3 linked regions of the Neurospora crassa OR74A genome follow. The protein of the gene in region 3 purifies or fractionates together with the protein of the main gene of each other region. This does not show direct contact. Links are inferred from orthologs where the notes say so. Each region holds a gene or a part of one and is shown on either strand. Other genes may lie near its edges. The genes, in order: NCU06622, NCU02685 and NCU09880.

Evidence for each region.
Region 1: the proteins of NCU09880 (region 3) and NCU06622 purify together in Saccharomyces cerevisiae (affinity purification with mass spectrometry; 3 studies listed by BioGRID). This does not show direct contact. The link is inferred for Neurospora crassa OR74A from reciprocal best matches to the Saccharomyces cerevisiae genes SMX2 and LEA1.
Region 2: the proteins of NCU09880 (region 3) and NCU02685 purify together in Saccharomyces cerevisiae (affinity purification with mass spectrometry; 5 studies listed by BioGRID, with this or other methods). This does not show direct contact. The link is inferred for Neurospora crassa OR74A from reciprocal best matches to the Saccharomyces cerevisiae genes SMX2 and BRR2.

What each region holds. Positions count from the first base shown.
Region 1 is NC_026504.1:1,833,303-1,837,208, reverse strand, and holds NCU06622 (U2 small nuclear ribonucleoprotein A'), read right to left. Parts: upstream 2,447-3,906; 5' UTR 2,148-2,446; coding exon 2,069-2,147; intron 1,951-2,068; coding exon 1,910-1,950; intron 1,799-1,909; coding exon 1,538-1,798; intron 1,421-1,537; coding exon 1,286-1,420; intron 1,230-1,285; coding exon 987-1,229; 3' UTR 593-986; downstream 1-592. Other genes in the region: NCU06623 (hypothetical protein), read left to right, coding at 1-592; NCU06621 (hypothetical protein), read right to left, coding at 3,139-3,906. UniProt on the Saccharomyces cerevisiae protein: Involved in pre-mRNA splicing. Associates to U2 snRNA in a MSL1 dependent manner and is required for normal accumulation of U2 snRNA. Required for the spliceosome assembly and the efficient addition of U2 snRNP onto the pre-mRNA.
Region 2 is NC_026501.1:3,198,362-3,202,506, reverse strand, and holds the start of NCU02685 (pre-mRNA splicing helicase), read left to right. Parts: upstream 1-1,208; 5' UTR 1,209-1,322; coding exon 1,323-4,145. Other genes in the region: NCU02686 (hypothetical protein), read right to left, coding at 1-42, 157-355.
Region 3 is NC_026501.1:6,357,758-6,361,460, reverse strand, and holds NCU09880 (small nuclear ribonucleoprotein SmG), read left to right. Parts: upstream 1-1,195; 5' UTR 1,196-1,309; coding exon 1,310-1,339; intron 1,340-1,480; coding exon 1,481-1,552; intron 1,553-1,611; coding exon 1,612-1,686; intron 1,687-1,745; coding exon 1,746-1,826; 3' UTR 1,827-2,144; coding exon of another isoform or gene 2,145-2,338; 3' UTR 2,339-2,456; coding exon of another isoform or gene 2,457-2,781; 3' UTR 2,782-3,085; downstream 3,086-3,703. Other genes in the region: NCU09879 (hypothetical protein), read right to left, coding at 1-664, 764-866; NCU10125 (hypothetical protein), read right to left, coding at 2,145-2,338, 2,457-2,781; NCU09881 (hypothetical protein), read right to left, coding at 3,574-3,703. UniProt on the Saccharomyces cerevisiae protein: Plays a role in pre-mRNA splicing as a core component of the spliceosomal U1, U2, U4 and U5 small nuclear ribonucleoproteins (snRNPs), the building blocks of the spliceosome.

The sequences.
Region 1 (3,906 bases), on a different chromosome or scaffold from region 3:
GCAAGCAGCGGCCGCCCGGGCCCGCGTCAAGGGCGGGAGCGACGTTGTGGTTCCTCCTGCGGGGACCGCCGCCGCGGTCGTTTTGGCGCCTGGACCGGTTATGGGAGGACTGGCAGCTCCCGAGGGGGTTATGCTATCTTTGGAGCAGGGACAAGTGGGTGATCATGGAGATGAGCGGGATAGGATGGCGATGCTGCCGAATGCCAAGAAGCAAAAGGGGTCCGGCGGGTTGCAGCAAACGTCCATCTTGATGTCTATGAATGGGGGGTTGCCTGCTGGTACAGGAAGCGGTGCTAGTGGAAGCATTGGAGGGCTGGCGGCGCCGGTGAATGGACTCGGTGCTGGCGGGGTTAATACCGGTATTACCAATATGGGTGTCACGACGGGTGTGGTGGGCATGTCGTCGGCTTCGGGACGACCATTTAGTTCTACTCCTGGTGTGATGAGCGGCATGAATAGGGGTATCTTGTCGGCATCACCGCCAGCTACTACGTCGGACGAGGATCCCAGCGCGCAGTTGCAGATGGAGATGAGGCAGGCGGCGTCACAGCAGTATCGGGGTCATGATGGGGATGTGGATATGACGGGTTAGTTGAGTGACTGTCCATACATACAGAGCCGAATAGACGTGTTGAATATCCGGGCGAGTACAAGACGTTAAGAGGTGTAGAGTTGCCGAATCAAAGACCATGGGCCCTTGATATGCTCGTCCTAACGTCCCTTTCCTCAAGGCCGCTCCGATTGCTGCGGTGAAATCATGACACCACTATCATGTTTCACTATCTCTGTTTCAACCCAGCAAATTTGCGCAATTTGGTATACAGTTATTTTGCAGTAAGCCCCATCTAGAACCGAACGCCGACAAATGGTAAGCTCTTTGAAGTGCCGTCCTCCCCCTTTTCGTCACCTCTGCAAGCCATCATATCACGAACATATAGCAACCTGATCTACCACGTTCGTCAGGTGCCCGTCACCTTGGTTCCTCCTTACTCCTCCATGGCATCGTCATCCTCGGCGATAATGCCAGGTGGCAGCCGTCCCTCGTTGAGCGCCTTCTCCAATCTGATGATTTCCTCCAAGCTGTCGGCCTTCTTGATCAGATCCTGCAACTTCTTCTTCTCTTTCTCTGTGAGCTTGAGACGCGAAAGTTTCGAGGAAGGACCACTGCCGGCCGCACCGTTGGCGGAGCTGGCGCCAACGTCAAAGGTCTTGCTCTTGATTCCCTTTATCTGTTTGCATGTTAGCAGGGTTGTCATGACATTGAAAAAGAAGACAAGGTACATACCGTCTTGGCCAACTCCGTCGGCTCATCAGCGGTTCCAAACAGCTCCTTCGCCTTCTGCCTCTCGGCGTCCTTGACCTTGACGTAATCGAGAAAGCGAACCTGAGGGCACAGCCAGAGGACCCAGTAGCGGTAGTTCTGTGTGTCGACAAACATTGTCAGCCATTCCGTACATTCATTCCATTTGCCACCCCCGTCTCCGATTCTCTCTCAGCCGCATAACACTGGGCGACGAAAGGGCGTTGTGTGACGTACCTCCTTCTTGGTAACGGGGTTGTCCGTCAAGACCAAGTGCGTAAGCCTTGGAAACCTTCCCAACACCTCCAAATCCGCCAGCTCGCCAATATTATTGGACGCCAGGACGAGGTTCTTCAGGTTCGGGGTCGCATTCGGTAGGGTCGACTGGATCTGGGCGATCCTGTTGCGGGCGAGCAGGAGGGTGCGTATGCGGGGAGAGAGCGGGAAGTTGCCCAGCACTTGGATATCGTTGTCGGTGAAATCAATGGCATCGTGGGGCTGTAGTAGCGACCGGATTAGCAAACTGCATTAATTGGTAATTTGGTTGAAACGGGCTACCAGTAGCAGGACTAGCAGTAGAGGAAGAACCAGGAGAAGGGAGAAACTTACCCCAGCAACGCCCAAGTTCTCAATAGCAGGTATTCTGTGTCCTATTGCATGTATCCCAACCCAACATAGGTTTTCGATATATCAACTCTGTTCTTTGTACGCGCTTTTGGAAACTTGAAGATCAACCGTGCAGTATCTGCTCTTCTCGATGGAACGCACCTCGGAGGTCTATCTCTCGCTCCTTAAGCGGATTGAGATAGGAAAGGGAGTTGTTGATAAGGTCTGCCGTCAGCCTCATTGTGACGACGGGAGTGCAACGACGACGGGGAGCTGTCGAGCTGTCGCTGCTACTACTACTGCGATGCCGGTCGGTACCTTGTGATGGTTGTTGCTGGTGGTGCTTTTGTAATACGGCGGCGCAAAGGGGCTTTGCAAACAGGTGATTAATTATTGATTACAGCCAGGAGAATTGCCGTATGTCCTGTGTTCGCCTTCGAGATTGAAATTGATGGAAGTCAACTAAAGAAGCAAAAGGTTGAAGCGCGTCGCGTGGTTCGTAATTGGTGGCTGTAGTGAAGTTACCAAAGTAGATTGACAAGGCTGCCTGCCCCAATGAAGTCATGGACAGCGCCGCAAAAAAAAAACGGACGATGTAGTAACCCTAACCCTTGCGCGTCGGATTACTTGCAAGTCGCAACCACACGGAGCTCCTAAACAGAGTCGACACGGTTTGTGTCTGAAAGACTAGGGTACTAGAGTCAGATATTATATGTTCATTTTCTGCCCTCTTGTTGGCCTAAAATGTTTCTTACTCGCTATCTCGCCAGGTTGCTGTCAAGTTTTCGTTCTACTTCTTGGTGTAAACGCTTTCACAACCACTAACCGCCCGCTATGGAAAAACCAAAACCACTTTCATCACACTCGCTCTTTAGTCCAGATCCCCAACCCGGCATCATCTAAAGAACCTGCAGCTGTAACTTTAGGGCTTGTTTCGTTATGATGCACACTATTGTGCAATTCCATTGTAACGTCACCAACAATGCTATCCCTACATCGTCTAACCGGACGTCGAATGACGCCTTCCATGCTACTCAAACCAGAAGCCAAAGTCACTGACACAATAAGCTTGCTATGTAACGCATCACGCAAGTTCCATGTCCATTACCTGGTATCACACACACACAGAATTTGCCCGACCTTGAACCAGAAGCGGGATTTAGTATGCGAATCCACACCTCTCGTCCTTTTATGCTGATAATTTGGTGCCCAAGGGTCGTGCCACTCACTCACTACTCGACGATAAGCCCCTCCAAAGCTTCCATCGCTCTGGCACCCTGCTTCTCAAACAGCAGGACCATCTCCTCGCATTCCCTCTTCAATCTCTGCTCAGCCAAGTTGGCATTATGATAGATCCACTCCTCCACGGTCATCCGCTTTTCCGGGCTCGTGAGCTCACTGCCCTTGTGCAAGAGTTTGTCAATGCCGTCTTCCTTATCGTAGTCGTTCTTGTTGGGCGAGAATATATTGTCTAGATCTGCCGCGGTCCAAGGCTTAGTGCTTTGAAGGGCACCCAGAATCGTCCGTTTGGAAGGAGAAGTGGGCCTGTCCGGTGTGGTAGCCATTGGTGCTAGAGCATGACGTTCGACTATTGGGGTCATTTGCTTCGGCGATGGGGGTCGGTTCTCTGCATTCGAGGATTGCATTGAAGGCGAGCGGTAGACGCTTGGCTGTTCTTGAGGTACACTCGCGACTGTAGGTGCCTGAGGTGTAGCAAGCGGCTGAGACAGGTGATCTGGGGACTCAGATGGCGGCGGAGGAAGAGACTTGTTTAGTTTGGCTGGTGTCGGCGCAGCTCGAGTGACGGCCGCTCTAAGAGGGGAGGCCCGGGGCGAATGTTCCGGAACCGGTTCTTCTGCTGCCGCTTCAACGCTCGCCTCTTTCGGAGTTGAAGCTGATAAGCGGCGCTCGGTTTCAAGCTCGACCTGGGTCTCGACCGGGGCTTGGGCCTCCGGAAGCGGGATCCCAGCTGAAGTTCGCTGCTGCTCTGCCACTTCCCT
Region 2 (4,145 bases), about 3.2 Mb from region 3:
TGAGGTTGGTAAGATGGTTGAGAAGGTAGTTAGACTGTATTTCTGTTGGTTGAGGGACAGAAACCTCATGATGACTGCGCTTTTGTGAGAGTGTGTGGTATTCTTTGCGGGCTTTGATGTTCGCGCGCAATGCTTCGAGGAATTCCCTATACAGACCTCTAGTATCTTGTGAGTAGGAGGGTACTTCACTTGACTCGGTGAGAGACAACGGTTCTGTCAGCGTTGCTCCGTCTTTCAAGCCCGAACTGAGGTGAAGTGTCAAGATCCGTCTGATATGGGCGGCTTCCTCGCGAGGCCTGGTGTATGGTTGCAGCACCTTCTGAACAGCTTCTAGCGTTTCTCGAAAGGAATCCATCGTGTAGATAATTCCAACTTGACCTGTCTATCAGTATTGGCTTCTTTTCATATCAAGGCATAAAACAGCTTATTGGTCAAATTGTGAATGACTGTGATCATCGATGAGCTCAGCCCGATGTGAGCAGGACGGACATAAGAGAGCGTGGTATGAACCAGAGGTATCTCAGTTTCCAGCATTCAAATGATTGTTCAAATAGCTCGTGAAGTAATACGATTCGTCCCTCTTGGTGGTATGAAAAAGAGGTATCGTAGAAGTCGGAGCCCATGGATCAGACTTCTGCCACCTATCTCGAGTTGCTCGATGGGTTGAGATCGTGTTGATGATTGTGCCTACCACCTTTAGGATGTTTGTTAGTGCACCTTGACCAACCTCTACACACCCCACGGGGTCTCCGCCTATGCACTAACACCGCCCTGACAGCAAGGTCAAGCTCCAGCTGTTCAGTGTGTTTACGTGCTGTCCAGGCAGCCAATGAGAGTCGACGACGGCAGCATTGCATAAAAATTTCCAGCCGTCATGACTGGAGCCACACCTATCTCTGCACCGCTTGCCACCCCTACCAAGCCAAGTAAGTTCCTGCTGGCTGGCAAGAACCACGCCTCTGGCTCAACCTTTCCAAACTGAACGCCAAACTCCAACCTTCCTTTCGCGACAACCGCGACAGACTTCTGTCGGAAACCCATCATCTCTGTTTCCGCCCGACCCCAGATTCTTGATCTACCCATCGATGCGACCGGCGAAATACTACTTATCAGCCAGCAAAACCAACGCTTGGTTCGGGCCGGGCTCGGGCTAATTTATCGCCACTGCGTGCACGCAAGAACAAGCACATTTTATCCCCAAAGGCCGAGTTGAAGATATCACCAGATCGAGACTCTTCCATCCGCTACGACCTCTACTTCGATCTTGACGTATACCTCAAAACATTTCATAGATTTCTTTTTTTCTTCTCCGAGCTGGCAAGATGACGGACCACCACCGCGATGTGTCGCAATATAAATACTCGGCCATGTCCAACCTGGTTCTCCAGGCGGACCGTCGTTTCGTCACGAGGCGTACCGATGAGGCCACGGGAGACCCCGAGTCCCTAGCCGGGCGTCTGTCCATCAAAGATATGGGCTCCAGAGTCGCTCGCGACTCAGCACCAAAGCCCAAGAAGGCGGGCGCCATGCCCGACGTCGAGCGGGGCAGTCTAAGGGAAGGTGCTGATATCCTGCAACGAGAGAAGAAGAAGGGCAAACTCGAGTCCGCTACAAGAGGTGGAGGTATTCTTACTGGCGCCGACGCGCTTATCGAAGGTCTCCGCTACCGCCCTCGAACGCAGCCGACGCGCGATGCCTTCAACCTTATCCTCACCATTGTCGCCGAACACTTGGGCGACGTGCCCCATGAGGTCGTTCGCAGTGCTGCTGACGCGGTTCTCGAATATCTCAAGGATGACGACCTGAAGGATTTTGACAAGAAGAAGGAGGTTGATGATATTCTTGGAGTCTCGATGGGGCCCAAGCAGTTCAACGAGCTCATAAATCTCGGCAAAAAGATCACGGATTACGACGCTCAAGATGAAGACGAGGATGCGGGCGATGCTAGGCAAGAAGGCGACGACGAGATTGACGGTCGCCAGGGTGTTGCGGTCAACTTCGAGAACGATGAAGATGATGATGGCATGGTTGATGTTGTTCGGGACGAATCTTCCGATGAGGAGGATTTTGCGGAGGATGAAGAGCTGCCTGACAGCAACGAGGTGGTCGATGGTGAAGGAGGTCAGGAGGAGGTGGTCGAAGATATTCTGAACGGCGAGGCCATGGTCATCGATTCAGCACCGGAAGGGAAGAAAAGCGGGTCTGACGACAATTCCATACCCGCCAGAGATATCGATGCGTTCTGGTTACAACGCCAGATTGGCCGGCTATATCCCGACGCACATATCCAGCATGATAAGACAATGTCTGCGCTCAAGACTCTTTCCGGCGAGCCCGATGAGCCAGGTGGTGAAGAAAAGCAGCTCCGCGACATCGAAAACGACTTGATGGAGCTTTTTGATTACGAACACCACGAGCTTGTGCAAAAACTCATTGCTAACCGGGAGAAGGTCGTATGGCTTACTCGGCTGGCCAGAGCTGAGAATGAGGAGGAGAGAAATACGATCAAGCGGGAGATGGCTTCTGAGGGTCTGCGTTGGATTCTGGACGAGCTGGAAGGCAAGACCGACGGCGGCCAGAAGAAGATCAAGATGGACATCAAGATGGACATTGACTCGGGGGCCTTTGCTGATAAGGAAGGCCAAAAGCCTGAGCGTCCCGAGGGACAGCTAGTCGGAGGTCTGCAGCCACGCAAGTTAATAAACCTGGAGAACCTCATATTCGATCAGGGTAACCACCTTATGACCAATCCCAAAGTACGACTTCCCGAGGGCTCGACAAAGCGCACCTTCAAGGGCTATGAAGAAATCCATGTGCCCCCACCAAAGAAGCGCAACGACCCCAGCGACGCCCATGTCCCGATTTCTGAAATGCCTGAGTGGGCTCAGATACCTTTCAGCACGGCCAAATCGTTAAACAAGATTCAGTCAAAGTGCTATCCTACTGCCTTTGGTGATGATGGAAACATGCTTGTCTGTGCTCCGACGGGCTCTGGCAAGACCAACGTGGCGATGCTCACCATCCTTCGTGAGATCGGGAAGCATAGAAACGAAGCCGGCGAGATCGACCTGGACGCCTTCAAGATCGTCTATATCGCGCCCTTGAAAGCCCTTGTTCAAGAACAGGTCGGCAACTTCGGAAAGCGTCTCGAACCATTCGGTATCAGGGTGGCCGAACTCACTGGCGATCGGCAACTTACTAAGCAACAGATCTCGGAAACGCAGATTATCGTTACGACCCCCGAAAAATGGGATGTCATCACGAGAAAGGCTACTGATCTCTCCTACACCAACCTGGTCCGCCTGATTATTATTGACGAGATCCATCTCCTTCACGATGACCGTGGTCCTGTGCTTGAAAGCATTGTCGCCAGAACCATCCGCAAGACAGAGCAGACCGGTGAGCCTGTTCGCATTGTGGGCTTGTCTGCCACTCTGCCCAACTACCGCGACGTAGCGAGCTTCCTGCGTGTGGATACGAACACCGGGCTCTTCCACTTCGATGGTACCTTCCGCCCTTGCCCCCTCCGTCAAGAGTTTATCGGCGTCACGGACAGAAAGGCCATCAAGCAGTTAAAGACCATGAATGATATCACCTACCAAAAGGTCTTGGAGCACGTAGGACAGAATCGCAATCAGATGCTCATCTTTGTCCATTCCAGAAAGGAAACGGCAAAGACCGCCAGGTACATCAGGGACAAGGCTTTGGAAATGGACACCATCAACCAGATCTTGAAGCACGACGCCGGAACCCGTGAAGTCCTGAGCGAAGCCTCCAACTCTGTCAACAACACCGATCTGAAGGATATCTTGCCCTATGGCTTCGGTATCCATCATGCTGGTATGAGTCGTGCTGATCGTACCGACGTCGAAGATTTGTTTGCCAGTGGCCATATCCAGGTTCTTGTGTGCACAGCCACTCTTGCTTGGGGTGTCAACCTTCCAGCCCATACCGTCATCATCAAGGGCACGCAAGTGTACTCGCCTGAAAAAGGTAGCTGGGTTGAGCTCAGTCCTCAGGATGTGCTGCAGATGCTTGGTCGTGCCGGTCGTCCTCAGTTCGACACCTATGGTGAAGGTATCATCATCACCACCCAGGGAGAGATGCAGTACTACCTTTCGCTCCTTAACCAGCAGTTACCCATT
Region 3 (3,703 bases):
ATGTCGCGGGATTGAACAATCATGGCGCCGTCAAGCTCAGAGGGGTCGAGGTCCATGGCGTCGCCCGTTGTCCCGGGCGCGGCAGATGCCTCCGGCAACGGTGCGCTGTGGGTTTTGAGGCTGTCGTCGTCATCGTCGTCGATGATGCTTAGCGAGGCGAGATTCTGTGGTGTGGCTGGCGTGGAGCTTTGGAGTTCTTCAAGGTATTCTTTGCTGTACCGAGGCTTCTCTTCGTCGGCGCCAAATGTGCCGAATCGTGCGGTCAGGGCGGACTTGCGAAGCGCGTTCTTCTCGGCAACTCGTTGGCTCAGCGACTTTTTGCTTGGGGCGCTGACCACGTCGCTGCTGGCAGTTGTTGTCGTATCATTGCCGCCATCTTCCGTGTCGCCCTCGCTGGCTCCGAATGATAGTTTTGAGATGCGCTTCTTCTTGCTGGAGACTGAGCGGCCGAAACCGGGCCGTACTACGAGCGGCACACCAGTGTCCTCCTCGGCTTCTGTTACCTCGGGTGCCGTACTTGTGCTGGTTGACGTAGGTTGGATTGCGTCGCCGCTGGTTTCTTGTGGATTATCGTTACCGTCGTTGATCTTGATCGTTCTTCGTAGTGACGAAGATTTAGTAGGCTTGCTGCGCCCAAACTTGGTCGGTCCTTGCGGTACTGGTTCTGTTCGAAGGCGTATCAGCTTGCTTGTTCTTTGGTTTGGTATCAGCACTGAGATTTTCTATGCTGGAAAGGGATGGGCATGGCCATATAGCAACTTACGTTCGTTCTTCGGCTCCTCTCCTCCAAGCACCGTAGGAAGGTCGCCATCCTCATCGTCAAAGGTCTGGATAATGCGTGGCTTGCGCTTTCCAAAAGAGCTCATTTTTGTGATGATCGACTTGAGTAAAGTGTAGAATGGAAGTAGGTTGTCTGACAGGGAGTTTGTAATACAGTGATGTAGTATTGAGGCGGGCGTGTTGTTTACAGGTAAGTTTGTAGTGCAAAAAGGTGTCCAGACAGCTAGGAAGCTTCGAAATGCACCCTGGAGAATGACGCTGGTGGGCGACTGGATGTCACCACTGCACTGAACACTGCAATCACCCAAAGACGGGCAACGCGAATTGCGGTTTCTTATCTTATCAGTGTCCCCACGTGATGGCCTGGCGGCCGAAAATCACTGGGGATGGTCGCGATTGCACGCGCTGCACAAGGCCCGCCTTCCAGGTTGTTTCAGTGGAGAGTTCCCAGCCAGAACGACGCCATTGCCATTCATTGCAGCAACTCTCTCGAGACCATCCCAGACAACCAACACAACCTCAAGATACAATGGCGCCCGCACAACCTGAACTGAAGAAGGTAAGAACTTACTCTTGGAGAATTGCCTTTCACGCTGAATGGCAGCTGGCTGGTCGAGACTATGCCATTGTCGCATCTCGAACTCCATGTTATTGTTTGTTTAGTATGGTGTAGTGAGCTAACCGACCACTTTCCAACCAGTACCTCGACAAGAGGCTCTTCGTCCAACTCAACGGCAGCCGCAAGGTCATTGGTGTTCTCCGTGGCTACGATGTACGAGATCTCCCCTTTACGAATTCGAACATGATGATTGACGGTTCGCGACGTCATAGGTCTTCTTGAACATTGTTTTGGACGATGCTGTTGAGGAGAAGGATGGTGGTGAGAAGGTCAAGCTTGGCATGGTGGTATGTTTATCATTGTAGAAAGGTGCTGACGTGTCTCCTGCTGACGAATGTGCACACAGACCATTCGTGGTAACTCCGTTGTGATGATGGAGGCTCTCGAGAGAATCGGCGGCGATGAGAGGGGAGGACAGCGCGGCTAATCAACAATCATCTTCTCGCAACACGATAAAACGACCCTGCGCATCTACAAACGCCTACATCAAAAGGCGAGGCATCGGAATAAGCGGATGGCAATTGACGGGATTTGACTATATACCAAGGCGATTTACACTTTACGACGACATCTACAGTGTTCCACGCGGTCTTGGACGGTGAAAAGCTAGGTGGGTTGGCTGGTACGGCGTTCAGTTTCACACGAGGCATGTATTCGGGAAAGCTGCATTATCTTCAACTTAGAAAGGGAAACATCTGCGGCGGTGGTCGAAGAAAAGATACCCAAAGGATTTTTTTGTTTTTCATCACGTACAGCTCTTCTCCGACAACAGCTGCTTCCACGTCTTCTCGTCATAACCGTCCACCATGCGGTCGCCGTACATCCGCACCCAGCCTCGAATCCCGCCCGTCATGACCTGCGACTGAAGATCGCCGCCTACTTCGTTGATATAGTCTTGCATCCAGGCGGCACATCGAGGGCCCCGACCAGCGGAGGAGCCTGGGGGAAGAAGCATCGGTGTTAGAGAGGGTCGGCGGTAGAGGTACGAGTTCAAAAGAGCATAGGATTGATTGGACTCTGTCCCAAGAGTCAATGACAGAGAAAGTCAAACACGTACCACAATAGAAGACCACCTTTTGGATCCCGGCCTGTTTGCACAAAGCGTACAAGCTCTTGCGCGTGGGGAAGAAGCTGTGGGCGGGCAGGTTGATTGATGAGCTGACAGTTCCCCCGGCGCAGTCTGTCCGGCGACAATCGACAAGCAGCAATCTGCGCGATTGGGGCATGTCATCGACATGTTCTTGCTGCTCAAGAAGCTCGAGGACAGTCTGGGGCTCGATATGGACCGGCGTCGAAGTTGGCTCTGGAAATGCTGCCCACCACGGTGTACCATCCTCGCGCCTAGCCATGCGCAAGCAGTGTTCGTGAACGTGTATCGTCATGTTGAGGCCGTTGCTGAGTTGGTTTCTCATTGACTGATTTCTTAGGTTAAGCGGAAGAAATGTACCGTTGATGCATTGTCCGGTATATGAAGGGCAGTCAGGGGTAAACTCTTTGTTTGCCACACTGGATTGGGGCGGCTCTGAGATCTAGTCACATCTTTCAGCAAGCCACGCCGCCAATACTCATCTCGCGGGACATGTCCTCGGCAGTCACGTCCTATCATAAATCACTTGTCTCGTACGATCGGATCCTCTGATGCCGTAGATGGGATACCGCATCCGGAGGTAGTCCTTCCTATCCTATTACTCCATGGAGTTTTTCAGGAGATCGCGGCTAAGGGGGGACGACAAGATGATTTCTTCACCAGCTCATCAACGCGACATACTGCCTGGTCTCGTCGCTTCTATGCAATTTAGTAACCATGAGCATGTTATTTTTCTTATTACCCATATTCATGCCCCTCGCCATTTACCCGTAGATAACTGATAGCTCCGACATCTTGGTTTACTCGGCCCGGCATATAGGGGGATATCACATAACGAATTGTTGAGGTGTGTAAGTTGCAGCACCAGGACACCTGCGACAAAGCGCACCAATCAATATACATGTCGTTGTATGGAAGATTGATAAAAGGTTAAACCACGGCGTTTATAAGGTATACAGTAGCAAGACGCTCCCTCCAACAGCCCAGCGACACCTGAGAGCTATTCTGATTTATACGTCACGGCGTAACTTCCACCAAAGAATGCCCACATCTCCCAAATCAGTCTGTGCTCGCTTCGTTGTTCCATTCATTCATCATAGTACTCCTCCTCGAGCTCCTCTTCATACTCCTCTCTCGCCTCCTCGAGCTCTTCCTGGTCACTACTGCTTGCAGAAGACGACTGTGCCTCTTCTAGAGCTTCCTCGTACTTCTCACGG